Linked DNA regions of Xenopus tropicalis. The protein of the gene in region 2 interacts with the protein of the main gene of each other region in a pairwise test. Links are inferred from orthologs where the notes say so. Each region holds a gene or a part of one and is shown on either strand. Other genes may lie near its edges. The genes, in order: fam53c, ywhag and epb41l3.

Evidence for each region.
Region 1: the proteins of ywhag (region 2) and fam53c interact in binary tests that used the Homo sapiens proteins (3 or more experiments, as listed by UniProt). The link is inferred for Xenopus tropicalis from reciprocal best matches to the Homo sapiens genes YWHAG and FAM53C.
Region 3: the proteins of ywhag (region 2) and epb41l3 interact in binary tests that used the Homo sapiens proteins (3 or more experiments, as listed by UniProt). The link is inferred for Xenopus tropicalis from reciprocal best matches to the Homo sapiens genes YWHAG and EPB41L3.

Annotation. Positions count from the first base shown.
Region 1 is NC_030679.2:48,023,503-48,033,657, forward strand, and holds the start of fam53c (protein FAM53C), read left to right. Parts: upstream 1-5,504; 5' UTR 5,505-5,648; intron 5,649-5,690; exon of another isoform or gene 5,691-5,799; intron 5,800-5,867; exon of another isoform or gene 5,868-6,000; intron 6,001-7,245; 5' UTR 7,246-7,370; coding exon 7,371-7,448; intron 7,449-10,155. Other genes in the region: oocyte-specific histone RNA stem-loop-binding protein 2, read left to right, coding at 1,009-1,146, 1,513-1,650, 2,272-2,371, 3,300-3,416.
Region 2 is NC_030678.2:94,291,157-94,301,311, reverse strand, and holds the start of ywhag (14-3-3 protein gamma), read left to right. Parts: upstream 1-3,340; 5' UTR 3,341-3,480; coding exon 3,481-3,567; intron 3,568-10,155. UniProt on the Homo sapiens protein: Adapter protein implicated in the regulation of a large spectrum of both general and specialized signaling pathways. Binds to a large number of partners, usually by recognition of a phosphoserine or phosphothreonine motif.
Region 3 is NC_030682.2:106,252,280-106,262,434, forward strand, and holds the start of epb41l3 (band 4.1-like protein 3), read left to right. Parts: upstream 1-3,578; 5' UTR 3,579-3,706; intron 3,707-10,155. UniProt on the Homo sapiens protein: Tumor suppressor that inhibits cell proliferation and promotes apoptosis. Modulates the activity of protein arginine N-methyltransferases, including PRMT3 and PRMT5.

The DNA.
Region 1 (10,155 bases), on a different chromosome or scaffold from region 2:
GATCCTGAGTGGCACATTGGTTTCCTAGCATGCAAGCTTGAAAAATCATATAAATATGTGCTAGATACTTGACTGGACAGCATAAATGTTAGATTCCTAATGAACCTAGACATAATAGCTGCCCATCTACAGGCTTGTCTCCTGCCATTAAAATAAGCTGTTTACCTGCAACATTACCACCGCCAAACAGGATGTAATAGATATTTTTAATGTAGATGTTTTGCTTTTTAAACTTCTAGCTATTCAGAGACTGCAGTAGTGAGCTTGTCAATATAGTGCATTAGCTCTAGACAGGGTGACGTAGGAGTTAGCCTTACAAAATATTGTTCTGGAAGTAAGAGCATGCTTTATGGTTCAGATCTGCAAACACATGAAATCTGCATTTTTAAACAAATAAGGATTTTTAACTTTCATTAACTCATTGCTTATCAATAGAACAGTACTGAGCCTCTATAGGAAGAACAACCCTTACTAGACATGCTGACGCAAGGGGTATATCATAGCCTGGCTATGGCTAGTGTTTCAGCCAGATCCAGGAATGATTAAGTTTCAAATAGATTTTAAGATACATTTGACTTGTGGCCTGTAGAGAGTCTGCCTGGCTCAGGTCATCATCCTACTGAAGCAAGAACAAAGCACCTTTGGAGCTATTCTGCTTCTCAGGCTGCTAAATTTTTCCTGGAGCCAGATAATATGGGATGGCATTTTTCTGATAAGTTAGGAATGCAGCCTTTATTAATCAGTGAAGCTACCTTTTTATGTTCCCAGTGTAAGTGTTGAAAATTTTGTACAAATAGGTGCCTTACTTTTTTTAATACTGAGAATATTACAATTTAATTAGTATTGTGCAGATCTGCTCAAATGCAGTAACTTATACTGTTCACACAGTACTTGTAGCAACTTGGGTTCCTTCTTCCTACACGAATATTGCAAAAAATCTTTGCTAAGAAAATAAGCACTTGCATGTAAATTTTTCTTGTGGTATTCATTTTTTTTTTTTTTCTTAAGCTTCTCAAGAAGTATGACCATATCTCATGATACTGCCAGATATGAGACGGATGAAGCCACTCTGCAGAGACGACAGAAACAAATAGACTATGGGAAGAACACAATTGGATATCAGTGTTACCTGCAACAGGTGCCCAAGTGAGCATTTATATAGATCTGTTATGTGTGCGTATGAGGGAAAAGGGGGGCTTCTTTCCCTTGGTATGTTCCAGTTTTTCCATAGCTGAAGACTTTTTAGGACAGGTACACCTCATCATACAAACTACATTTACAAAGTGTGTGTGTGTAAAGTGGAGATGCATTAAAACCTAAATCCATTCAAACAAAGGTACAGCAGTTATTTTGTTAAATGATGGTAATCATGGTAATAAGCTGCAACAATTTTGCACTTGTTCCTAGTTCTACAAAAATGGCAATCAGCAGGTAGCATTTAATGTGGACATCTGGCTTTGTACTCCTTTTTGTTAGTAAATAAGCGCTCTTGGTTTGCATTTTTCTTAATAGGTCTGAAAGGAAGCCAGGAGTTCACCCCCGTACCCCAAACAAATATAAGAAATACAGTCGCCGCTCCTGGGACATGCAGATAAAACTTTGGAGACGTGCTCTGCATGCTTGGGATCCCCCTTCACAAAACTCATTAAAGTAAGTATCTTGCATGTCTCTAACAAGTTTAGATTCTATATCTATCTGCTCTCTCGCTCTCCACACATTATATAATCTCTATCAATTTTTTACATATTAATTGGTAACAATATTGGTGACATGGGTTACGATACATCTTGGTATAAATGAAAGGGGAAAAAAAAGGGGGGGGGGGTTGGTTATGATGGAAATGGATAGTGTATATAGTGACAGGTGCTCCTTTAAATCCAGCGGGAGAAAAGGGGCATCCAGGTAGAAGTCGGGGAGAGTCATTTGTATCGGTTATCGATTGGTGTTGGAGTTCTTGTGTTCTGAAAGATATCCAGGCATCCCAGAGATTTCTTGATGTTGGTCAATCGAGTCTGATTAATATAGCAGCAATATAAGGCATAGTATGTATATATTAGCCAAATGTGGGGCCAACCAGTTCAAAGCGATCACACAGCGTGCTGCAGTGTGCTATGAACTGCAGTGTCAATTTGTTCTGGGTTTTTGTTAATTTTTTTCAAGGGTAATGAAAATAATGCCAGCTCAGGGTCTGCAGTGATACCTCACAGTGCTTTTAAGGAATAGTAACTGTAACAAGGCCTATTGAAATTATTATTATTTTTTACCATACAGGGAGGAGTGCTCATTTAATTCAACACAGAGGCTACTGGACTCTTGGCTACAGGAAAGCGACTCTTTGCAAAACCTAGACATGGACTGGCTTGGTCTGCAGGTATTTAAATGCTTTAGTCTTTTCCCTATTTGTTTCAGGTGATGCTTTGTGCTCCCTGTCTTAAAAAAAAAAAAAAAAAAAAAAAAAAATATACACCACTTATGTTGACTTCGGTACCAGCCCAAGTCTACCACAGCAGTGAAGATCTATCTCCGAAGATGACCCCAGTAGCTCCAATTGGTACACAACACATACTCTGAGCTTAGGGACTAACTCAAAATATACAGTATTTTTACAGTTTAATGATAACAGGCTGGTACCAATTCAAATTTACATTACTTGGCTCAGAATAAACTAGCACATTCTGCATTAGAACTGGTTGATTATCTGCCCTGTATCTTTAAAGGAGAAGGAAAGCCTAAGTCACTTGGGGGTGCCAAAATGTTGGGCACCCCCAAGTGACTTAAATCGCTTACCTTGTACCCTGGGCTGGTGCCCCTGTTAAGCGAGAACAGCACCAGCCTGGGGTAGCTGTGAGCGCTTCCTCCTTCCACGTTGATATGCTGCGCATTAGAGTGAAAAGCTGAACTTTAACAAGAAAATTGTTTTTTCACTCTAATGCGCATGTGCCGGCCCAGGGATTTCGCTGCGGAGGAAGGAAGTGCTCGCTACAGGTACCCCAGGCTGGTGCAGTTTTCTCCTAACAGGGGCACCAGCCTGGGGTAAAAGGTAAGCGATTAAAATCACTTGGGGGTGCCTAACATTTTCACACCCCCAAGTGATTTAGCCTTTCCTTCTCCTTTAAGGAGGTTACCTCTCTAAGTGGTGGTGTGATAAGCCCTGGCTGTCCCTGCTTGTTTGTATACCAGTAATCATATAAAGCTAATATGTAAATGAATAAGGATAGTTGGATGTTAAGATTCATAATGTATCTGAAGACTGACACATGGGCTAACTTTTTTTTTTTTTTTTTTTTTCCCTATCACAGCTATCTGCCCTGCAGAACTTGGGCTACTGTGAAGACCAGATTCAAAATTCTTTTGATTGGCTGCCGTTTCGTGATCACACAAATAACTACACCTACCCACATTGGATAGGCTTGTAGACCCTATATTATGCTACAATCAGTCACATCTTTTTTTGAACTTTCAAGGATTTATGTGGTCAATACTTTAATTACGACATTTATTTTTTGCGTGCGTTGAAAGCAAAGGGCTTTAAAAGAGCACCCTGGAAGACGGGTTCTTCTTCTAGTTTGTCTGCATACCTTTCTCTACTGTACAGTTTGTCTCCTACCAACAAAAATAAATGGCTTGGTGCATCTTTCTTAACTGCTATTATAAATGTGTCTTTATAATGCTATAAATGACTGACCTCACGCACTGTCTCGGTATTCTTCTTTAGGGGTGAAATGATCTTTGGCACTAAAGGAGGTTAGTTTTTTCCAAATGCTGACCATAATTTTTTTTTTTTTAGCACTAGAACGTGCCTTATTTGCACTTGCTGTACAACAACTGGCTTTAGTATTGCTGTCTGGCAGTAAGCAAGTGGTTGTGCCAATCTTTTGTTTGTTGTACGCTTGTCCTTACGTTATGTGGTATATAGAAATACCTCATTCTAATTGTGTTGAGTGTTTGAAAAGTTCTATGTTTGGTTGGAAACTTAGTGTTGCACTATAGAAACTTCTAAACATCTGGTTCATATAGTCACACAGCTCCCACAGTCAAAATTTTTAATGTTTAATGTGTTGGCTATTTGTATATGATTTTTAAATAAATATTTTTATTGTAACTTTTTTTGTACTCATCAATTTTTTACATAAGCATTTATGAAAAGCTGCATAACTTCTGCAGCTCGGCTGTCTTTCAATAAGTACCAAAGCAAATGGCCCTCCCTCCCCCACCCCAAATCTGGTTTATTGGGCTGCTACTAAAATTATTTTTTTTCCCCCACTTCCCCTGCCTATGTACATTTTTAACTAGTTCTGTAAAATGCTAGCTTTTACAACTTTTTCTTTTCGTGTGGTAAAACAAAGCGTGTGTATTTTTAAAAACGGCGTGCTTGTGTCAGAACTGAAAACTTTTGGTTTCTACACTTGTGTGCACCACAATATGTCAAGCATGTGGGCCTCAATTTATGGAAGCACAAAAGCTAAGAAGGGACATTAAATGAGCCTCTTCCTTTCTAATGGCAGATGACTATTGTTTGCAGTGTCTTGAGCAGATTAAGCACCGTGTTGGATCCCATTTATCGGGGGGATTTAGAGTTTTGTTCCCCCACCCCAGAGCAGCAAAAAATATGTGTGCTATTACTATTCTTCAGCGAAAGGAAGGAGTAATTTACTCCCGTAGCTATAAAATATTTCTTGCCATTTATGTTAATCTGGTCATACACACACCGATAATATTGTACAAAACCTTGTTTCGTACGATATTCGATGCGTGTATGGCAACTCGGTGAGGTGACCGATATCGCAGAAGGCTGAGGATATCGACTTGCCGATTGGGCAGGTTAAAAGATTTTGATTGGGCACCATTTGTTTAGGGCTGAATCGGCAGAAGGAGGTAGTAATCCTATTGTTTCTACCTCCATATCTGACGATTCATCAGTGGAGGGTTGGAATGATCTTTCATGCGACCATCTGTTGATCGAAAATCACTACATGTGGCCAGCTTTAAGCAGTGACAATTATAAACAATAGTTTTATAAAATTGTAATGTGATGTAATTCTCATGCAAAGCATGCTGGTACCTTAGCAGCTGCTCCCAGGATATGTTCCCTCTTGTCAGAAAGCTTTGGCTGAAGATATCAGGTTTTTTCTATTTTGAATATACTTAATGTAATTTTTTAATCTGGTGCTTTTGTAAAGCTTAACATTCGTAACATTGGTTCTAAATTGTAGTTGTTTCCGCAGCATTCTATAAACTTTTCCCCCTTACATAGGTCCTGACTTACCAGATCGTCCATACCGAGCGATGGGGCCCTAATAATAAGCAGTACACCACAGAAACAAGGTTTGTCTCTGAATGTAGTTAAGGGGTGACCGTCCTCTGAAATATAGGGCCACTAACAACCCAGATTACAAGTTCCTAGACAGCAGTAAAAACCGCATACTCTCTGCACTGTTCAAACGCCTGGAAACTACATATTCCAGCAACCTTTGCTTTCGCATGAGCTCTCCGGTGTGGGGGGAGCGAAAGAGTGGCTTCTGCTACGGCGAACCGCCCACGCTTAGAGCGCCTCTGGCCACAAGGTGTGATTAGGCGTTTTGCACACAGTATTACCTTTGGAAGAACTGGTACTGATGCTTACAGGTCATCCGCCTCACCGGTAGTCGGTAGGTGTACCGCTATTTGCCCTGTCTATAAAGCTTCATGGTTTATCCCGCAATGGGGACGGGACAGCTCATTCACCTGAGAGGGATATTGGGCCGACTCCGGGATGCTGCAAATCCATTGACCGTCATCTCCGTGCTTGTATCTCTGAATGTAAGGGAAGTAGGAATCATTTATAATTAAATCGGCTTATAGAAACCGGGTATTGTGAATTTCACATCTCAAATTGTAATGCTGTACACAGCAAGCTTCCCCTATTTGAGTGGTATATTCTGGGTGGTATTTAAGGGCGCTGCAGGGCCGCTGCTGGCTCAGAGCTGCTCCGGGTCGCTGGGAGGGTCGTTGCTGAAACAGGTAATTGAAGAAGAACAGGTGGGGTGGTAGCGGGAAGGTGACGGGGAGGTTGTTAGAAAAGCGAGGCCTCTGGAAATCGGGCGGTACGGGATGCGGCCCCTTTTGTAGGCGCTGGTCAGGCCATCTCCTGAGGAGGGAGATAAACAAGCCGTTAACTCTTCATTTTCCACACTTAGAAATGCAGTCACAGGGTGGGGGGCCCACTGCTGCCCTCAGCGTAGCTGCTCGGTTTTGCCCAATAATATGTTACTGAGCAGGCAACCAACTACCTTGGTGTAAATGGGTTACATACATTTCCCCATCCTCCTTCAAACACAACATGTCAGCTTTCTACAGCATTCGCGTAGTTCTCAGATAATTCTGTTTTAAATAAACCTACTGCCGGTGCCATTTACTAATATTTGCAATGTACCCATTGGAAAACAGACATTTTTAATGCTGCTCTGCCACTGAGTGTTTGCCTGGCTTCTAAGGCCTATGTCTTGGTGATCTAAACCTTGTGATCAAAAATGTAAAATGATTATTGAATTATTGAAATGTGTAAACTGCCAACATATTACGTAGCCCTGTATAGTAGATGGGTGTATACATCAAATATGCAGATTCCATACAAATACTGATCAATGCAGGAGGCAAAGAAGGCCCATCTCTGTAGAGCTTGCAATCTAAAATCATTTGGCTTAAACAGTGCAATTTTTCTATTTGTTCAGGTATCTGGAGGCATGGATAACATACACAGACAATATATGTATTTTGCGAATGGGTAGTTTGTCAGTAGCAGGTCACGGTACATGAATGAATGAAATTATTCATAAACCAACTTGTATTTTGTTAAGAATCAAAAGCAAATGATGTCCAAGTTTTATTCAGAACACATTTGACACATTATGGGGCCTCAAAAATATCCATTGACGGGGTGTCCAATTTGCAGCCTTCCAACTCTTGTTTAACTACAATCGTGGCTTTCCTAACAGCCAGATGTATCTCTGGTGGTGCTAGGAACTGTACTTCAGAGGGGGAAGAAAGATACAAGCTGGACATTGCTGATCTGCTGGTTTACAGTCCAGATATTACTTTTAGGTAAATTAGACATCTTGGCTATCAGTTACGTTTCTGGACTAAATTGCTACAACAAAATACATGCATCTTCCAAGAATATTTCTTGTTGCTACTGATTGTTAGTGATTGATTTTAAATGTGTAGAATTATAAAGCTGTTGACTGATTGTGTATTTGGCTCATGCAGGATGGAGTGATGGGGTCAATCTGAGCTTCCACTTGGGTCAGGCCCAATAGATCCTGGCACTTAATGGGCCATCATGTGCTATAACCGTTACTGAAAACACAAATGAACAGCCAGACCTGGGCATCATGATCTCAATGATTACGGAACAATTGCAGAAACAAAGTCTGGAGGATCTAAAATGCAAGTCTTTCAGTATAAGTCTGGTAAGGTGTTCCATCAATCTTCCATGCTTCCATTCCATATCCATACTGCATTTTTAAACTTGAGAAGTCAAGGAATTTCTATATATATCAGCAAACTATTCTTGTAGAAAGTGCTAAATGCAGTGTTTAAAATCAGTGAGTTTGTAAGAAAAACCCAGATTCTGAAATTATATGTTCTATCCAGCTTATCTAAACCATCATAAAGGAAATAGACCTACCCCTAAAACTGATTCTCTGGCACCCCAAGCCTGTCAGTATTACACTGTAGGTTTACAAATATTATTGCCACTATACTAGTTATGGTGCATTTATTTAAAACTCATCAAGGCAGTAATAAAATATGAACTCTGTGATCATAATTCACTAATGTAAACTCCGTAATCTAGTTTACTTTTTACAGTACATGGTCTGCCCTAGAACCAGTTCAACCATGAATGATGTAATATAACTTAAACTTGTTAAAATGTTCTGGTGGTCCGGTTACTGCTGACTATAAATCGTCCCTTAATATAGAAGATGCCACTGTAACACGGACTACATAAGGAAGTAGAGTCAGTTGTAAACACAGCAGGCACATTTCACATTGTAAGATCTTGAAGAAGTAGAGCTGCTTGTGCTAAGGAAGTTTTCTTGTGCACTGTGCAGTGTTGCTTTAAGAATTAAACCTCTTGTGGTTGCTGGACCATAGCTCTTGTTGTGGTTGATAATATACTGGTGGTTGTTGGAATTTGTATTAGAGCAGCATTGCTATGGTAGATTTATGTCCTCTTAAGATCCTGTGTTCTTTTTTTAACTTTGCTACTAGTAGAATTCAGAGCCTATACATTTAGCACATTTAGAAAATATTAGTAAGTAGCTAAACTTATAATTTAGGGGGTCATGTAGATGATTCATTTGGTTATATCTGGGGATTAGGGAGTGAGGGAACAGCAGCATCTGTGAGTGTTAGGTATCCTAACACTATATCTTGTGTCAGATTTCTCAACAACAAACCCAAGTATTTTTTTTTTTTTTTTTTGCACTCTGGTTTTCTTTTCTGGAAGATTACACTTTGCCACCCTCAACAAAAAGTAATTAGAAGTAATTAGAATTATTTTCAATTTTTCTTTCCATTTAGACTAATTGCAGTGAAATTCTGCTTCATGCTATGCAACTTAGATATTCCTGATCAGTGCTCTGTGTTCCATAGCCCTTTAAGGAAATGCATTAACACCAGTCAAATAAAACAACTTGTTTAAGCTAGCCATAAGTTTGTTGGGTTTTTGAACTAATGGAAAATTTGCAATTCAGGGGTGGAACATTAAAATGTTGCTTTAGGGGTGTTCTGCATGTTAACACAAACAAATGCAAAATCTTTCCAGATATTTTACTGTACCAATGCTCTAAATTTTCCATATTGAGAGTTTTATTCATGTTATTTTTATTGACATTTTTCTGATTACTGTAGTCCAGATATCTGCAGGTGTGTTCCAGCCTTGCCAGTTTGAAAGTTTATAAAATAATGACTGCAGTAGGTATCCATACACAACTCTGAAATGGTGTTCTACATAAGAATTTAAGTGCTACTTAAAGGAGAACTGAACTTTATAAAAGAATTAGAATAGACATGTTACAGCATATGTTTTGGACTTCTGTACCAGCTCAAGATCACCACAACATTTGGCAGTTAAGAGCTGTGCTCCAAAGATGCCCGCAGTATCTCCAGTTCTTTGCTTCTGATTCACAGTGCATGTTTTTAGCTACTATCAGTTACTTGAACCTAGGGGCCAGTTCATCATATACAGCAGGGATCCTGAACCTTTTGTACTTATGAGCCACACATGTAAAAAGTATTAGAGAGCAACACATGCATGAAACAATTTCTTGGGGGGTGCCAGATAAGGGCTGTGATTGCCTATTTGGTAGCCCCATGTGGACTGCTGGCCTGCAGAAGGTTCTGCTTGAAGTAAAACTGTGTCTCTGTGCTTCCAAAACTTGCCTCCAAGCCAGAGTTTTAAAAAAGGCCCCTACTTTTAGGCCACTGGGAGCAACATTAAAGGGGGTGGCGAGCCACTAGTTGATATACAGTATAAATATAGTGTAAAGTTAAATAAATAAGGCTGATTAATTACAAATTCAAAGTTTCTTTACATGACAGCATAGAATTCTGCATCAGAACTGATTTATAATCAGTTCTTTAGCTTCAGCTTCTATGACAGTTGTAATATAACTTTCTTCTAGTGCCTTGATCATTTTTGATGACCCCCTAAGCTTAGCTGCTAAACCTCTAGGCTGGTACAGTAAGTTCAGTATATAAAATATGCTGTTTCTACTGTAATCTTTTTTTAGACTTCACTTATCCTTTAAAACTAATTGCAGAGTGTTACTGATACACTGGGGAAAATAGTATGCCGGCAAGTATTATTTAATATATATATTTATAATAAGGTCCTCCTGTAAGCTGATGAGCTGCTTAGATCCTGCCTAGTTAGCCTTGGTGGAATAGTACCCACAGTTCTGATATCTTCACCATAAGTATAACTGGTGTGATGATCTAGTAGAAGCACTTATAATAACTGTGTAATGAGTATTTTATTAAATTAATATTAGATATTTAAAAGAGCTTACAAAGTCTCACTTCTGTGCTCTGTGGACCACAAACGAAAAATCTCACCAATACAACTAGTAAAGCAATTGGTATCACCGAACTAGTCAGAAGGTGAAACCT
Region 2 (10,155 bases):
AGAATCTAGTGCAGGGGTGTCAAACTCAATCACAAAAGGGGGCTGAAATCTAAAACAGGCTAAGTTGCTTGCCAAATTTTTTATTAAGATACTGTATGGTCAGGCACAGTCACCAGGGGACACATAAAACAGCCAGAAGTGCCTTGTGTTTGACACATGTGATCTAGTGCATAGGACACTTGTGGTCTAACATATTATTGATCATGGGGCCATATGGACTATTCAACAGTTTGAAATGAACACACTCCAGGAAAATATCACACATTTTGCAGAAAATAATAATATAACTTTTTTTTAACTTCCTGCTGTGGTTAGCTACCCTAGAAATTGTTTTTATTATTTACTTTATTATTTAGGTTGCCTTAATAATTCCCTTTTTTAGAGACACCCTTTTGGGTCAAGGACCCAAGTACTGGAGTAGTAAGGAAAAAACTGGGAGAGCTTACAATCTAATAGGGAAAGGAAGTGAGACATATATGGCAAGAGTAACCAGTTTGGTTGTAGAGTTCCTGTTGGTTAGGATAGTAATGAGATGTGCATAGTGAAAGATGAATAATCAGTAGTTAATGTGTGGGGGTAAGTAAAGAGGATTAGGAAGGTGGTCAAGTTGCTGAGGGCTTATGTTATAGGACTTAATGAACAGGTGGGCTTGTTTAAAAGCATGGAGGCTCTGAGTGTGTCTCATGGAATATGGCAGAGAGCTCCAGAGGATGGGTGCAACACGTACAAAGGCCTAGATGCAGGAGTGAGAAGAGGTAACAAGTAAGGAGGAGAAAAGCTCATAGGGTTGTGATTGGAGATGTAATGTATGGTGGTGCAACATTGTTGAGTGCTTTGTGAGTACAAGAATCTTGAAGCAAATTCGGTGTATGACATTGACAGGTAGCCAGTGCAGAGACTGGCAGAGAGGGGCATTACTTGTGGAGTGGGAGGAGAGTTGTATGAGGGTAGCAGGTGTTTATGATGAATTGGAGTGGAGTGAGTTTAGACAGGGGGGTCTGCAAAAAGTGAGTTACTTAAGACTCGCGAGTCTTTTTCGGCGATTTGCGCGAAATCGCGCCGCCGCGTCTGCCATCCCGCCGGCGACTTACATGTTCGCCGGTGGAATGGCAGGGGTAGGCAACTCGGGGAGATTAGTCGCCCGCGAACAGGGAGTTTTGTCGCGGGCGACTAATCTCCCCCGTGTGCCAGAGCCCTAAGTCTAAAGAGGATATGCCTAAGATGTGGATAAGAATCTAGGCTGTGTCTTGGAAGGGTCAAAGGGAAAATGCAGAACGATTTAGCAAGCATAGCAAACATGGGTAGAAGGATTCAACATAAGTCTGTTTAATGGTGGCTGGTGTGAAGGGTATATTGATTATTTATTAAAGGACAAGTAGGAAAAATTCACCGTACTGGGTACTTCATCTCCACTCTTTCTCAGGAAAGATGGGTAACGTTATAAAGAGAGACTTAGGATCCAGTGTGGTATTGCAACCCCCTACAAAATATAAAAGGTGCAAAGTTTGTTCCAGGTCTAATCAACTATAGCAACTAATCATCAGGTAGCATTTACAGGTCACCTGTTTAGCAGCAAACACCTGCTGTTTGCTATGGGTTACTACACCAGGGCAAACATTGTACCTGTTATTACATAAAAGACTAGGAATTCTGAAACGTGTTGAGGTGGTTTTCTATTTTTAATTGTGATTTTATTTAGCTCACAATTATTTGTGCAAGGTTTAACATTTCGTCCTGCTTGTTATCAAAGAAGGCTGATGCCACAGCAGAACTGGAGGTGTGACTTGGGTTGCCACCCTTGCCATGGGCTAAAACTGGGCAAAAGGGTAGGCCAATAAAGTTTGGGCAGAGCTAGCACATTGGGGATGATGCTGTGATGTTGATGCTGGGTTATTGCATAATTTCTGCCCAGTTTTCAGAACATTAAAACCCTGGATAGAAAGTTTTGAAACTGATTGCTCTTGAAAAACTGGGCTCTCTGGTTCAAAACCAGACAGGCTCCTTTATTTGATCAACTGTGGTTTATAGGCAAAATCCACATAGTGTAAACATTTTAATAAAAAACTACTCTTACTAAAATTGCTCTAACATATATGTTGTTTCTAAAAAGTCTATCCTGAGCACCAGTCTTCTCTCCCTTCTCAGCAATCTGTGAATTGTAAACAGGTGGCATCTCTGCAGCGTGTTCTCCCAGCAGGGTGGCACCGGGAGGATGTCACAGCCTGGAGCATTTTGTTTGTTGAAACATCCTCCAGTTGCAACAGATGAAACGCTTTAGACTGTGAAGTCACCCAGATGCTTAGAAGCCTCTGTCACAACAGATGGAATGTTCCATAGTATACAATCTGATATTGTATTCATTTGTGCATAGTGTTGCCACCTTTCTGGGAAGAAATACCCGCCTCCTTATAGTTTAATCTAATTTTCTATTTATAAACTTGGCATGGACCATCATTTTTACAGTCCAGGCTGGCAAAATACTGGCCAGGTGGCAACCCTAACTGTGCATAGCATCAATTAGTACTTATCAGAAAAGTATAGTTAACTCAAATGCCATAAAGGCTTTTCCAAGTCACAGGGTGTGACAGTAAAGTTTAAGCTTTTAAACTGTTGGTAAAGTTTGTGCCAAGTAAACATGTACCAGCCAGAATGCAGGCCTCCGAGCCTATCACATTCTGAACTGTTCTGACAATGGAATGACTCTACCTGTGTGAATATTACAAGGCACCCAAGAGTAACAGGACAAGTATCACGTCAGGTCAGGCTGATGGAACTATGAAGATTTATTGGATTCCCGGTACACCATTCAGCGTTTAACAAAACAGAACACCCATTTGGAACAAGATTATGATAAATGTTACCGTTAAACTCTCAAGTTAGCAGCTACTGACAATATCAAATTGGAGATATCCCAAATATCACTGCAGGCGATAAGCGACTAGAAGCCGGAGAGCAAGGAGGGAGACGTAGTCTTTTGTTCAAGGCGTTTCCCTACATGCACATCGGTACCGCATGCCTAAGAAAACTACGATTCCCATCAAACCATGCGGATCTACCCTGCCACCCTGTACCGCACTATTTCTGCCTGGAACCACCGCCCCGCAGTCAACCAAGACCTTTTAGTGATCGAAGCACAAACTGCTGCCCTTGTACGGTGGGTGACGGCGCCAAGTAGGCGGGACTTATATTTATTCCAAGTGACGTCAATAGGCTGGGAGGCGGAGTTGGAGTGAGGCAGTCGCTGGAGGTGCTACAGACTGGGTAGTAGCTAGATAGGCAAGCAGCCGTTATTTGCTAGTAGGTGACAGCGAGAGGAGGAAGACTTGCAGATAGCTGTAAAGACGCATTTGACATTTAAGGAGGCTTTGCCTTGGTCCAGCCTCTGCATCTGTTCTGCGCTGTCTCCGCTGCAGTCGAGTGCGAGTCGCAAGCCCCGAACCCATCCGCACGTTCTCTTCGCACGGTCTCGCACTCAGCAACATGGTGGACCGCGAGCAGCTGGTGCAGAAAGCCCGACTGGCGGAGCAAGCTGAGCGCTATGATGATATGGCGGCTGCTATGAAAGCCGTAAGTGCGATGATTGAGAGCTGGAGGGAATGTGTGTGGCCGACCTCATAGTTGTTCATCAGTTTATTACTATGATAAGGGATCAATGCATTTGTACTATGGACACATCTGCAGAGGTGTATCTCCATGTGGTTCCGAGGTGGGCATGTAGGGAAGCTTACCGATTGTATATAGATGGATAGATATAGATATTGCAACCTGTCATTTTCCTTTTTACCGCTTGTCAAACAGCTGACCTTTAGTCATGCACTTCCAGGCAGGGATGCGCAACCTGCGGCCCTCCAGCTGATATGTCACTTATCTATCAGCCCTCCAGCTGATCTATCAGCCCTCCAGCTGATCTATCTATCAGCCCTCCAGCTGATCTATCTATCAGCCCTCCAACTGATCTATAAGCCCTCCAGCTGATCTGTCACTTATCTATCAGCCCTCCAGTTGATCTATCACTTACTATCCACCTGGATGCCACTGTTGGCTGGACTACGCTGCCCATTCCTGCTTTAGGAAAGTGTAAGGGATTTCCCTAGAAGCATTAGTGTGCAGCGGGCATCTACAGTCTGACTCTCCAGCTGAGAACATCAAGTAATGCTGAGATTTGTAGTTCAGTAATGTTAGGATAGTCCAATTAGTCAACAATGTAGTTTTGGTTAAGAATGGATAAAAGGTATTGAGGCATAGTTGTGTTTCCTGTCATTGTGCTGTTTCCCAGTATCCAGGCATGGCATGTATTAGACGCCTATGTAGAACATCATTTATTCACAATGGAATTGTGTTGCCTTGATGATAACTGTGAGGGGGTTGCCCAGGAATATCTTCCCATGGCCCCTCCCAGATTCTCCTAATTTGCTGCATTCTTACTGCTACTGGTAACATTTGGAGACCTTGTGACAGGGATGTCAGACTTGCATCCTCTCAGCTTCTGTGGGACTGCACTGGCCTGGTTGTAAAATCATTTCAGTTATAGGTCAAATAAATGCTGCTGCTCACACAGGGTATCTGTGACTTATAAAGACACTTCTCATCTGCAGACAAACCTTTTAATGGTAGCAGCAGCTATTTCTGCATTTACCCTTGGGCCCTAGAAAGGGAACACCATAAATCCATTGCAATTCTATGGGGGGGGAATGCCTAAGTGTACATGTATGTACTTTGGCTGTTGGGAGGGAGGGGTGGTGACGCTTAGCAACTGCTGAAGAGATGCATGTTGGGCTTCCTCTCTGTATTGTCAGACAAGGGGCCTGTGGAGTAGACATTAGAAAATTGGGATAGCCCTTCATCCCTCCCTTATCTTCATCCTTACAGTTATTTTCTGTAGTTATGACACTTGGGACATAGTGTTACTATGGCATGTGCGCATAATTATAAGTCCTAAGATGGAATATGAATTAACTTTCTATCTGAAGTTGTCTAGAACTAGTTGTGTCCTGTGCCAGAATTCAAGTCTGCATGGAGGCTGTACACATTAAAGGCAGGTGATAGGATATGTTTAAATGATCAAAATTGGGGCATTTTGATCATCTGAACATATTTGCAAGTAGTAGTCAGCACAATACCTTGGATTTCTTTTAGATTAGTGCAGGTTCTCCAATGGCCACTTCTCATCGGCATATACAGACAAAAAATAGTTTTTTTTGTATTTCTTGTTTAAAATGCCTTTATTGCATACATCTTAGGGCATTCCAACATATGTTATCACCTGCCATTAATGTGTACAGCCTCCATGCAGACTTGAATTCTGGCTCAGGATCCGATCCCTAGTAGTGTTCATCTTAAAACCGGCATCAGCCACCTTGTATTTATTCCAATACAAAATGGTCATAAAACAGGATTGTCAAACTTGTGGCCCTCCTGCTGTTGAAATGCAGGTCCCATTTCCTTTAGCTAATATTTGTAGTTCAACAGTCCAAAGAACTGCTTGGGGGGACATTGCTGGTAGTAGTTAATCTGGTATTTTTTCAATAAAATAATGCATAATTAAGGTTTCACAGAGAAAATTATTTTTATGTAGGACTATATTCTGTTTTCATGCAGAATTACCTGGTATATGAAAACATGCAGGCATTGTGAGCTTTCCTTTTATATTAAATCAATTTATTTTGTATTTAAATGATTTAAAAAAAATATTTAGGAAATAAGTAGAAAGACAGGGTTAAAATCTGGCCTATGATGTGATCTTTGTGAAACAAAGCAGTAGTGGGAGGCAGTACCAGCCCTTCCAGAAGATTCTGCATTTGTCATATTGCAGAGAGAGGCTGGACTGGTTAAAGGAGGGAGGGGAATCGAGGGGGGAAAAAGGCAATTGTTTAAAAGGATGGCAAAGTCCTTTTTATTTATTTTTTATACTTGATTGTAGGGATTTTCAGTGATTCCAGGCACTGAATCTCCACCATATTGCCAACGAGCTCTCACTCTTTCTCTTAGTTATAATGGAAGAACAAATATATATTGTATATATTCCACTGTATTTGTATTGTGGATATATGTTCTTTTTTTGACATTATGTTAGTATTGATTTTTTTTTTCATTTTACCCTTTGTGAATTTATTTTGTGAATTTATTTTAGCGAATTATGTTAGATCTGCATATATTCAAGTTTGTTAGCAGCAGGGGAACAAATGGCATGTAACTGATGTCTGTAATTGATTTGTTATATTTTATCAGATGGCTTTTGAAAATGATTAAACAAATAACATAAAATTTTGCAGCCCCATTTTTGTGAAGCTACACCGTCAGGCTACAATTTGTCCTTCCCTGCCCTCATCTACCTTATCTGAAAAAAGTCGCCTCACTGATTTCCATAGCAACCTATGATGATGTCAGAAGGAGACTAAATCTGCATTGCACCCAGGTGGTTACCAGACAGCATAAATGGCTTAATTCCAAGGTATTAATGTCATGTAGCCATTCATTTTGTAGGTGGTTCTGAAGATATATATCCCTTATCTGAAATATATTAAAACTCTGCTACTGACATTTGTCAGGGTTAATAAAGTGAAACATTTTAGGTGGTCTTATCAAAATTTGTATACTCTTACCAATTAAAACAAGAGGACACATGTATGTAAGTCACAAACCGTTCTGTATTATGCAGTTGGGGACTTAGTTGGGGCCTTCCATTTGTGGAGAAATAATATACAAGTATCTGCTCTGCAAAATATTAAAGTGCTTATGTTTAGTCTCCCAAGATATACATTTTATAAATTGTGAGTATTTTGTGAGCAACTCTTTAGATCCTTTTGACCTCTCTCAAAATTCCAGATATGTTTCTGTGCAGTGAGCTCTTATAAATGCTCTGATTTCCATATTGTAGAATAGATGATTATGGTCCTCATATATTTAGAACCTCTAAGCAATAGCTATAAATAATAAATGTTTATGCCTGATATATCTCTACTTACAAGTTTATTCATACCGTCCACAACAGGACTACAGGATTCAATAGATAGGTGCTCTGTGCACAGCCTGTAACAGGCTCAGTGCATCAAACCCAATCAGCGAAGCTGCACTACAAGGACAGACAATCAATTACTGTAGTAAGAAGGGAGCACTGACCATGCAAAATGCTTGCATCAGGCACAGCATAATCTTTGAATCTAAAAGTTGGAAAAGTGTTTTACTTAATAAAAGAATATGCGTGTATTAGTGTATCAAGAAATTAGGTCCCCATTCTTAAGAACTACCACCCATATTGGGTAATAGGTAGTTAAATATAGCACTCATTTGTATATCTTAACTACCTATTACCCAATGAGGGAAGTAGTTCCTAAGAATAGGGACTAGGCACTCATTTCTATATCTTAGTGCGACTTACTAATAAAATTTGGGCATTTAAAGTTTTTTGTTTTTTTTTAATGGAAACAGGCCTCCTTAGTTGCATCATATGTCACTAAAGGCGGTCATACGTGCCCAGACCTCGAGTATTTACAGTAAATGCTATTTTTAGTTATGTGGGAGGAGTATTGCGTCCAGTGAATCAGGAAGCTTCAGCCTCTGTTTCCCTTCTTCTGTCATATGACTTTCCTAGGATAAAAAGGTGGCAGGGGATTTAGTTTATTGGATAAGCAATGATTGTCAGTGAATGCTGCTATGATAGTTTTATTAAAGAATATAAGCAATGCTGTTATACTTTATAGTCTGATTATTAAAACCAAGATATAGATATGGGATCTGTTATCCAGAAAACTCGAAATTACGGGACAGTTATTTCCCATAGTCCTTAATTTAAACCAAATAATTGGTTGGGTTAAATTATTGTTTAAATTTCTCTGTAATAATAAAACAGTACCTTGTATTTGATCGTAACTAAGATAAAATTAATCCTTATTGAAGGAAAAACAATCCTATCTGTGGTGGTCAAATAACAAAGATCTGGAAAACCCCCAGGTCCCAAACATTATGGATAAGAGGTCCCATACCTGTATGTATAACACACATATTACACATGTATATGATCTTTTATCCATAATGCTTGGGGCCTGAGGTTTTCTGGATAAGAGATCTTTTTTTAATGTAATTTGGATCACCATACCTTAAAATTATTTACACATTAAATAAACCCAGTGGGATTGTTTTGCCACTTATTACAGAGAAAAAGGAAATACATTTTACAAATTAAAAGAATTTTCTCAATATATCCCAAAATACAAAAGCTTAAAAAATTAGGTAATTTTCAGGAATGCAATTATCCATTATAAAGCCTATAAAGAGCATCTTACAGTTCTGGCTTTAAAGGAGAAGGAAAGTTTTGATCTTAGGCACCCCCCCCCCCTTGACTTTTTTTTAGATATCAATAGCTAAATTCATAACAATAAATAAAAAGCCAATATTTAATAAAAGGCACAGTTTGGCTAGGTGCAGTAACCCAACCAACAAGGTGTCTGCTTTTTAACAGGTAATAAGTAAATGATGGTAATGGTAATAAGAACGGAAACAACTTTGCTCCTAATATTACATTCCCCCCCTAGTCCGTTTTTAATCTATTATTGAACGAAGACAATAATTTGTGTATTTTCCACACTTCTTTTTGCTTTGGCCTTAATTCATAGCCCCTGTTATCCGTTTCCGTTGAAGGGATTCCTCACATAGCCATGAATTTCAAGGGATTTGCACTATGTCCAGTTACCTATATAAATGAGATATGTTGACATATTGACACATAAATGATTACAAATATGAAACTATAGCCTTATAAAGATGTATATGAATATATATATTTAAAAAAAAAAAATAAATACTGTAGGTTGTATCCACACAGTTGCAAATCAGTACCCAAATCTGAACGCACAAATATGTGGCTCTAATGCACTATGTGTATCTTAAGCAGGGAAATACACCAAGGTGCACCAAAAGGGTTCATTTGTAAATTGTGGGTTTTTTGGCATTGACAACATAACTGTTGCCTGTGGTTTTACATGGGCCATAAGGGTTGAAGACACATTCCTCAATTTGCAATTGGCATTCTTTTATTTTGATTTTCCTTTTTTTTTTGTGTGGAGAGACAATTGTCAGCTGTGCCTCCTATAAAACAGATTTTTAGTAACAACAAGAGGTCCTCTACACTCACCTATTATCAGTATCTATAGGGCAAGACATTCTGTGCATTAAGCTACCCTTCAAGCAAAACAGGGATTGTTTGTCCATATATTGCAATATACTTCAACCTGGCCGACTACATCAAAGTCATCCCTGTTATGGCCAGCCCTACACTCACTTTTATCTGATTCATTAAGAATGCTGCTTTAATATCAATTTAAGGAAGGGACTTAAATCTATATTGAAGCAGTAGAATTATTAAAGAATCAGATAAAAGTGAGTGTAGGACTGGCCAGACCAGGGATGACTTTGATGTAGTTGACCAGCTTGTCGTATATTGCAATATATGCACACAAAAAAAAAAAAACCTGTTTTGCTTGAGTTGAGTGCGTTTCTTGGTAGCTTAATGCACAGAATGCCTTAGAACTACTGTCATGGGAAAACATGTTTTTTTTCAAAACTCATCAGCTAATAGCGCTTCTCCTGCAGAATCCTGCATTAAAATCTGTTTTTCCCAGGGTGCCACAGCCATGTGACCTGTGCTCTGATAAACTGCATCACACTTTACTGCTGAGCTTCAAGTTGGAGTGATATCCCATTTATCTGTCCAGCCTTTCTGAATTTTGTACATAAGTACATTAATACAGTGTTTATCTTCTGTATTTCATAGTTAGCAGCATATTCCATTTAGCTTGTTGTGGAACTGCAACAAAGAACAATGTCTTGATGTACAAAAGATAGGAAGGTGGGATAAGATACTGTACATTGGTATGTAAAGCCTACAGACCCTAATGAAATTTACAGAGTAATCACCCTGTACACGCAAGATCTTTATCGCTTAGTAATGGTAAATAGAATGGTAAGTGATCCACAGGAAAAGGAAATACAGCAAATATTAGTTTGTCAATTTCATGGTAAACAAAAGGAATTCTGGGAATGAATTCCAAACTCCTAAAAAAATCCCATTTACATGAGTTTATCCTATAGGCTAAAGCTCACCCACTACAATTTCAATTTCATGGTAGGGATTATTCAGAACCTGTTTTACGGGAGATA
Region 3 (10,155 bases), on a different chromosome or scaffold from region 2:
TGGTATATTTAAAAACACAAAGATTTACAAGTGCATGGTGACAGTACATTTTATTTTAAGTACTTGAAAATACTTTAAATTTTTTTGGTGTTACTATGCCTTTAAGGGCCATATAGCACCAATTTGAAAATTTGCTTTCTGCTAGTTGCAATATCAGATGAATTTAAAATTTGCACAAAAGAAGTAAAAAGAAATAATGAATGTGCAGGTGTGCTTATAGTTTTGGGTATGTATAAGCATGGCGGACATGCTATTTCTGTTTGCAGAACAAATATGGCCTGATAAATGTGCCTGACCCTGAGGGACTACACTTGTTGCACTGATGGCAGTTCTGTGCCTTAGAAAGTCATTCATTGCAGCTATGTCACAGCTAGAGCACAGATCTGTATCCGTGACCCACAGCATCAGTTGGGACTCAATGAAGTGCTGTTGCATTATATAACGTTTAGAAGTCAGTAGAAAGCAGAGTTGGAAACATACAATATCTGACTGATAAAAGATTCAAACAGTTTTGTGTGTATTGAGATTGATTCCATATTATTTTGTTTCACAATAACATTTCTTCTTCCTGTTTCATTTGACTTTTATCTGATATCTTTTATTCTGGAATACCCAAGTAGAAGGATCACAAATTCCCTCAGCATTTAAAAGGCTTTTTCAAACTCTGATGGATAACATCAGAGTAAGTAGGTGGGGTGAGGGTTATCAATTGCTCTGCCTTTTCAGATTTTAAGTTGCCACCAGAGAAACTGCTGATTTGCTGCCTCCAACCCCATATTTATTATGTACTTGTGGGTAGATTTCGATGCAGAATTGTGGGGTAGAAGTCACTGCATTGGCATCTTTTCCAGTGGCCAACAAGCAGCTCCTTCTCGTCTAATGCCATAGTCAAGGATCACTTAGACTACCTGTGACTATTTGCAAGTAGCAGGCAAGACAACTTGGTTGATTCTTCAACTAGAAATAGTTTTTATTTTATTTAATGATTGGGAGCTCACTCTGTCTCCATCTGTTTAGGATCACTGTGCTGAAATAGCTTTGTAAATATGGGGTAAGGGGGCTGTAGTGAGGGGTGGATCACAGTAGGGCAACAAAAACTGTAACCCCACAGGGGCCCTCAGTTTTCTTGTCACATACATCAGCAGATTTTTCACTAAACATCTGTAACACAATGGTACTCTCAGTGGGTGCTCCACTCCAAATTGTAGCGTGCTGCTTTTTAGTGTGACGGCAGGCAGTAGATACAGCTACCGGATTAACATTGTTCTCACTGCTCACTGCTGTTTCAGTTGGGTTCACCACAGTTCGAAGCAGAACAGATTTTAAAATAAGGGGTGAGCTGCACCCTTTTATTTATGAAAATATTGTGAGATGAGCATGAAGAGAATAAATGTGCCAGGTTAGGAAACGCTGGAAAGTCATGTTGGCCATGAATCAAGTTGTGCATGTGGCTTGCAGGCTTACCTTTAGAGAACCATTCTGCTGGGGGACAAATAAAAATTGTGCAAAAATACACTTTTTTGGCAGTGTAACCAGACAAGCAAATGTTGTAGTATATAGTCTCTCTTGTACATTTAAATCCCCAGTGCAATTCACGTGGGTGGCTCTGATCTCTAGTTTGAGCAAATAGTAACCCAGTGTAAGCTGTTTCACACACATAGCAAATAAATTATGGTTATAACCAGATGATTTTCAGTATGCTAATAGTCAGCACCACAGAACAACCCCCCTAGGTTCCATCTGTCCATGCACCCAGTATATTTCTTTATCATCCACACAATCCTGCACAGCAGAGTGTATGTATATGAACTATGTTGCCGCATTCTGAGGTCACATCACCTGGCACTAGAGTAGACCTTGCTGGAATTAGGGACGGGTGGATAGAGCTTCTAGCAAAGATTAACTAGCACTCTAATCACAGATATGACAGCCTGTGCTGAGCAGGAGACATTGTTGAGCTGTTGCTTTTTGAGTATTGATGACTAATAGAAGATCATAGGGCAAAGTTAAACCTATGTCAGCAGAACCAAAGCACTGGCACAAATGACCATAAATGGCTCTCGTAATTATGGATATTATTACCAGGGGTTGTTTTTAACCCCATTAACATTTTGTTTCCTGTTCTTAAAGCAGACTGTTATCTGGGGTTGGGAATGCTGTCGATTTGAGTGCAAAATGATTTCTGTGTAGCATAGCCTGATCTGCAAGATAGTCTCATTTACAAAAACAGTTGTGGAAGGATGTCAAAGATGCCAATTTCTAAATGAAGCTTTCTCCAGAGTACACATATCTTGGACCTGTTTGTCATTCTCTTTTATTTATGCCAAACATCAGCTTGAATTTATGGAGTTTAATGAGGGTGGTTTTTGAGCTAGTGACCAGGACAAAGTCATTGTTTTTTCTTGGGATGTGAAAATGTTAAAAACGTGTATTTTTTTATTGGTATGTGTAGGCTTTGATTTGTAGAAGCTGCAGTTTGGAATGGAAAGGAGTGAAGTCCCAGTAAAACAGATTGCCTTGTCAGCCTTGCAAAAGGATGCCAGCATCAGTTCAGATTTCAATGTCTGCTTTTATTTAACAGAATGTGCTAAGATCTGTACATGCAAACAGATGTTAGGTTTTACCCTCCTTGTACTCCAACTGCTTTTTTGCAAACATTCATTATGCATTTTATTCTGTTACATATAAGGTTGCATTTTGTATATTAATGTACATTCTGGTAAAGTGGTTTTATTTGCTTTTTCTCAGCTTTTGGTGCAGTGTCATAACTAGGGTCATGTGAGCCCTGAGTAAAAATTTGCAACAGCCCCGCCAACAATATTTTTATGAAGAGGCAGATTTTTTCCACAATGCCACTAATATCACTGGGTCCACAATAGTTATGCCACTGGTTGCCACTTATTTCCACATCTCATAATACCCTCAGATTCTTCATCCAATGCCCTCTATTTACCCATGTCCAAGTTATTGCAGTTTTCTTAGCCTTCTAATTATAAAGACATTTTATGTGCCCATGGGCCCCTTTGTTGATTTTGTGCCCTGGTGCAATCACATTATTGGACTGAAATCTGAGAAGCTAGTTACCACAACCCCGTTACACCCTTGCCAAGCCCAGATACTGTTCCCAACCACACAGTTATACCCTTTGCCCCCCTGCACCTATTTTCCATTCAAATGAAGGAGAATAACCCAGTGTAGAGTAGGCATGTCCAGCAGGAATTGCTTGGAGTGCTAAGTGATATAACTTTTTCATGTCACTTTTTAGAAATAATATTTCTGTCACAGGTTTAAAATTCACCAACACTCATCATTGTCAATTGGCTCCCTGTTCAATATATGTTATTTTATTTTAACCTATTCCCCTTAGTTACTTCTCTTTTTTTACAGAAGATCGTGTGCTATATTGCCTAATAAACCACAGGATACAAGGACAGCAAAAAAAAAAAAAAAAAGATATCTCTAGTCAGCATATGCAGTGTCACGTTTACTATTAGCACAGATTTGATTGTGAAATAAGTCTGTGAATCTTGGCAATAGTACGTGGAAAATCCATCCATTTTACTTCTCTTTCCTGAAACGTATTCATTTACATTGAAGAAATTCTAACTTTGCCTTTCATTTTTTACATGTATCCTGATATCGGATTATGGACTTCATGAACATCTGTGTGGACACCATACTTGCTGTGGGGGTTACACTGCTGTTGGTGAGTAACTGAGGTTTCACAATAATCTTTGCATAGTGTTGCATGCACTGATAAGGTCTGATTACATTATGTTTTTATTGTTTATTTTACATTTGAGACTATAGCTTAGGAAGGATACCTTTCTCTACACAAGTTTCTAATTATCTGTTCCTTTGCACCTAATAAGGCTGGGTCAATGCACAGGTTAATCAGAATGATTCTGTTGCATTTGAGGTGGGAAGTTTAGCAAATTATGATTTTGTAGTCCTATGGCTATAAGTGATAGATTATCTGCTGATGAATTGCAGTCTTCTTCCTCTAGTGTCTTGTAAGAATAAGTCATGCATTTAAGTAATACTTAGAAACAGTAGCTTCTATATTGTTCTTACCTGTGTCGAAGAAAACATAATAAGCAGGTTAAAAGGTTGTAATAGAGAAAATAGCCTGTACACTGTAATTGCTCGTTGTCACTTTCAGTCATTAGGTTTTGGTCCTATCTTTAGTTATTTTTTATAGACGTGGAGGAAAGTGGATCTGCTTTTATGCGCACACCCTGTAGCTTCATTAACAGACCCATTGTTGCCCTCTGTGGAGCTTTAGGAAGGGCATATTGGCAAGAGAACAGGAATGTATGCATTTTCACATCAATATCCTCTATGTGGTCTCTTCCCCACAGCACAGGCCTATCTCTGAATTCAAGCCTCAGATACTTCTAAAATCTTTGTGTTAAAGTCAGTTGTTTGTTAATGCAAGGTGGAGGGGTGGTGAGAAGCTCTTACTGAAAGAACTGTTTACATCCTTACTATAATATACCACACCCCAAAGCATAAAGGGAAGAGTGATGGCTTCAGCACTGGTATCATAAGAGGAAGGAGCATAACTATAGGGCAGTGTTCCCCAACCAGTGGCTCCTGAGCAACATATTGCGCTCCAACCCCTCTTATATTGCTCTCCGTGACCTCAAGGTAGGTGCCAGTCCACATCGGGGCTACCAAATAGCCATTTGTAGCTCTTACTGGCCCCCCAAGGAACCTTTTTTATGCTTGTGTTGCTCTCCAACATTTTTTCCTGTTTAAATGTGGCTCACTGGTATAAATGGTCAGGGACCAGGGGCACTGCTATAGGGGTTGCCACCGCAGGAGTGCTATATAATACAGATATATAGATCAGTGATGAGCAACAAGTGATTGTGGGTGCTATGAGTGGTCAGTTACAGCTCACAAATGCTAGGTGACCCACCAGGAATAATATACTGGAATGGGGTGCCCTGAAGAGAATCAGTGTCAGATAGGCATTCCAGAGGCACACAAGAAGACCTTATACCACAAGCCTATTGTCCTCTCTTCAATTATTTCCATTTTACAAGCAATCATCTATTCTTCCCTCTATATCTGTACCCAGGGCCGTTGCTGGCCAAATGGGTGCCCTAAGCAGAAATTTACTTTTGTGCCCCCTCCCCCAAATATTACGGAAGTAAAAATAAAATACACAGAGCCCCCAATTGCCCCCATAGACAATGCCCCCATAGTAAGTGCCCCCAATAGCCCCCATAGATTGATTGAACTATCCGGGACAGCGGGATGCGCTATAAAAACCGGGGGGACAGTGTTGGGGGGTATGTTATAATATATAAAAATGTTTTTTTTTGGAGCAGCTGGGATGGTGCCCCCCTGGGAGTTGGTGCCCTATGCAGACTAAGTACTCTGCTTATAGGGAGCGGCGGCCCTGTCTGTACCCTTTCTTTCAAGCAGAAATGGGCAATAGCCATGGTATAGGCCGGCATACCAGGAGCCACTGGGAGTTTTCTTTGTACCCTTGTGTTGCTGTCTGATACTGATTAAAAGGTTTTGCCAAGATAAATTGGGTAGCCAGGTACCACATCTGAGTCACTTGAAATTGTACATGTTGCCCATTACTGGTAGAAGTCATGCAAGAGTCATAGGTAGGAAGTAGGAAGGGGCCATAATATCTGGAGATTAGACAAGTTTGGTTGTGCTAAGATTATGTGTGTGTGCTTATGAAATATGTGTATATGTATATATGGCAAGTTCCATAATGGTGCGCACCATTTACTTAGTACAGTGCCCTGGTGCCAAAGTCCATGCATATGTATAACCTAAGAGCAACAACAGATAGCACACAAGGGATTTGTAAAGCAAAAAAAATGCAAAAATGTATTGATTCAACATTTTGGCCTCCACAGGGCCCTTCATTGGGGGTATATTAGTGCAATGCAGCCCCTAATGCATTTTGGCAGTTATTTCATTTAATTTATCTTGTACGTCAAGTGAAATATGTGTTGCCATACTTTGGTATGTCTGTTATGTGCAACAGATATACAATATATTACATGCATGATAGAGAAATATGATGCTTTTCCTGTAAATGTAATTTTGCTGTACTTTATAGTAATGTTTTAAGCAGTGATACTGTGGCTGCTTCTTTCATACACTTTCATTTCATAGCAAGTTCTGTTCTACACTGACTGTGGAGGCTTAAGGGCCGTGGCAGACGGGGAGATTAGTCGCTCGCGACAAATCTCCCTTCTCGCGGGTGACTAATCTCCCGGAAATGGCATTTTACCGGCGAGAATGTAAATCGCCAGTGGGATGGCATACGCGGCGCCGCAATTGCCGAAGTTGCCTGTCGAGGTTGTATGTTTCTTTTATTTGATTATACTGGGCTGTTTTAGTGCAGACAAAAGCCGTAAACAAAGCATGGCATATAAGCTTGGTCACGTTACGGTAAAAAAAAAAAATTCTAAATATTACTGGGACTTATTGGATGCCTTTTACTATATATATGGGCCAGTGTTGTACTGACATTGAAAAAAAACAGTTACATCATGTTTGCTACCCCTAAGTTTAAAAGGGCAATATTTATTCTACATATCTACATCTACAACAGCATTAATCAATGTGAAATTTTGCTTTTATGAGCCACAGTAAGACACTTGGTAGAGAAAGCTGTGAATTAAGAAAAGCCATCCTATTAAAGAGCTCATACTACAGGCTGGGACTTGAGTCACATGTATTTTGTATAGTAACCATTAAAGGTTTTATCAGGACTATTACCTCCATGTTTTTGGCTATTAATGTTACCTAAACTCAGTGGGAACCATTTAACATCTACTGGGGATGGATGCTTGTCTCTACAGTAGTTGTTGCTTTGGCTGGGTCAACACATATGGGTTCACATATGAGCAACACAGAACCAGAAAGCAGATAAATTTGACTTTGGTCATTTGAATTGAGTTAGGGTTACTAAAAAGGTAAGACATTAAGGGGTCTCCTGGGTGAGTGCCCATCATTTCATGCCTGCCTTTCTAATTATTACCTAAGAATGTGATCAGAGATACAGACCTATTGGCTCCCATCTGCTTCAGAATGAGTGTGGAATACTCAATGGCATCACTCAGTCTTTTAGCTCGGCTTCTGCAAACCTTTTAGCATTATGTGTATTTTTATGCTTACTTTAATCACATCTCTGAACGTGTGATCTAGCCGGTGTTTACACCAATTAGAGGTCCTGAAAATGTATGAAAATTCCGTACTGCATAGATTTGCCTTATGTGCTTAATGGAAAAGTTAGGATGGAATTTAATTGGGTTAGCATGCTACTATAAGCTTTTAAAAACTTTGTTTTGACAGAACTATTTCTCCTTTGGAGTTTGTTTTAAAACTGTTACTATACTAAATCATATAGTTGTGTTAAATAAATTAGGGACAAAAGTCAGTTTATTTGCAGTGGCATCACTTCAGTGCAAATCTACCTTGGTACCATCATTATTGCTGATGATAATTTCAATTATCCAGTCAGCACCATTGCAAGCCACAAGTCTGACACCGGATGACACCAATGTGCTGGAAGTGGCACCTGCAAGCATCCTGTAAATGAGCCCACATTGTAACCTGTTCTGTGCCATGTGCTGACAATTTCACTGTATAATCACGTTTTTTTGCTAGCAATGCTTTATAAGTGCCTATAAACTATAATTTTTATTCCATACATGGATTGCATATTGGGTTTTGTAGCATAATTGTGCTTTCAGCTTAATATTGTTGCTTAATGGGGTTTTCTGCCACGGTGAAAGGTTAAAATCTTGTACTGTTCAAAGGTTGTAGTAATAATCAGCAAGACTTAGCTGGCGGCAGCGGAAATTTGTTTAGCAAGGATTTTTTCCCTAGGCTGTAAACAACTTTATTGCCCACTGTTCATTTTATGTGGTAAAAGCTTTGCTGGCTACAGGGTTTTGCAGATCGAACAAGGGTTAAGTCTGCGGCTGTGATGGGAGATTATCGCTTTAGAGATAAGGAACCATTTTTTAGAGGCCACCTTATTTGGATGTGCTATTTCAGAAGTTCCTTTTATCTCCCTTTTGCCCAGAGGCTCTTATGGCTGTGGCTTTATTTTTAGACAAGGATTTTTATTCAGTTCAAATGGAGTCTATGGATGCTAATGGAATAAAATTTACAAATTATCTTTAAAAAATAAGGAAGGATAAATCACGTTTTTATAAAATATTATGATCACTTAACAAGCATATGTTGTAGTCCACTAACTTAGTTTTATTGATTGTGCAAACAGAACTGTCCAAAAATCCTGTTTGTCTGAAAATCCTCTGATACAGAGACAGCAGTTTGTAGTGTTTGATTGTGATTTAGCCCTTATTTATTTAAACTTGTGTATTATAATGTGCAATAAAGCCAGGGCCAAAGGAGAGATTTTTAAAAGCCCCTTAGCCCAGCCTTATAATCTGTTAATATATGTGTATTGACAGTGTGACTGTTGCAGGTGTGGTTTAGGCAGTAGATAAGTTGACATATTGTGTAAAAGTTATTTGGTAATTTTCCTGTTGAAAGTGCCCTTGTCTAGTTTTTTGGGAAATCAGAAGGCCCGCCGCATTTCCTCAGGCTTTGTATCTTATCAGATTCTGCTGTTGGAAACAAGGTGGAGTGTTTATCAAAAAGTAGTAGCTGAGAAAACTCTTCTAATATCTTTTCAAAATGGCACTAATACAAAGTGAAACCATGCCTCTTTGCATTCTAGACCTGTTAAGCTGAAAGGATTTTTGAGACCACAGCCTTTCCAGTAGGTGTATTAACATTTTTGGTATAGTAATGTCCGATACAATTTAGACTACTAATACATGGTATAGCAGATATATAAGCCATGTTTTCATATGTGACTAACTGTAAAAGGTGCTTGTGTCTGTGCACATTCAGTGCAATGGCAAATGATTAGAAGCATTTTGATGGGGGTGCCACAAATGACATAAGCCTAAAAGCTGCAGGGAGTTGTCAATTACAGCGGATGAAAAACAGTATTCTTGCCTCTCCTGGTTGATCAGTAAATCTAAAGGTTTCATTTTATTTGTAAGTAAATTGTTGCAGATGATCTGTACTTGCACATTAAGAAAATAGTTTTTCCCTTGGGTTATAACAAGGAGTCAGGCAGGAGAATGCAGATAAGAAAGATCAAGCTGCTGTGTCTACAGATATCTTGCACAGTATCCCCCTGAAATGTGTTTTCTCACTCGAGCTGGTGGCTGACACTGGGAGGGTGAAACAGAACTGCAAACCACAGAAGCTCGACTTGGCAGGCTTGTGCTCCAGTGCCTGCAGACATATCTTGGTGTCCAGCTTGGTTCCTGCTACTTTCTACTTTCTGAAAAGACATGTTTTCCTTTAGCAATGATAGCAAAAATAGCAGTTTTGCTTAATATTTTCACGTGATGGCAGTTTTATAAACAATAAAAAGTAATCCTATACAGTCATCTATGTATGTGTGTGTATACAGTATATATATATATATATATATATATATATATATATATATATATTGTGTAACCCTTTTGGCACTGTCTTCTAAGGTGGGGTTATATTTAAGTTACCTAACCCAAGAGCTGTTGTTAACCATTCTGTGCATTTATATTTTAGATGCAATAGTACAGTGCTTGCACGTACTCACAGGGTCACAGAGGACGCTTAACCATAGACTTGCATTGAATTTCTGCCAAAAATGTATATTCTTATAATGTGTGTGTTGCAACTTGCACGTTTGCACCAAAGACCTTGTAAAACACTAGTGGACAGGAGTCCTAAGCTAGTACTAACTTTGCTTGGACCAGGGAACCAGGTATGAGAACAAGACCTGTCCTTTTGTAAATCCTAATAGTGGGGTTGTAACTGTACAGCTGCCAGTATCCTCCCAATGGCCTACCCAGTGTGCAATGGATCGTGTAACTGGTGATCCCAGTTAGCTCTCTGATGCTGACACTCTCAGCAGTGCTAACAGTGCCTTCCTGGGCTTCTAAAAAAATATAGTGATAATTGCACTCTAAATAAAAAAAATCACATAGCAGCCCATCCATTGATCATGGAGCCCAACATGTTCCAACCTTCTAAGGGGTGGAACAAATTACAAAAATAAGTGTTTGGTTGGAGGTCCAAGATCGGGACATTCTTGTG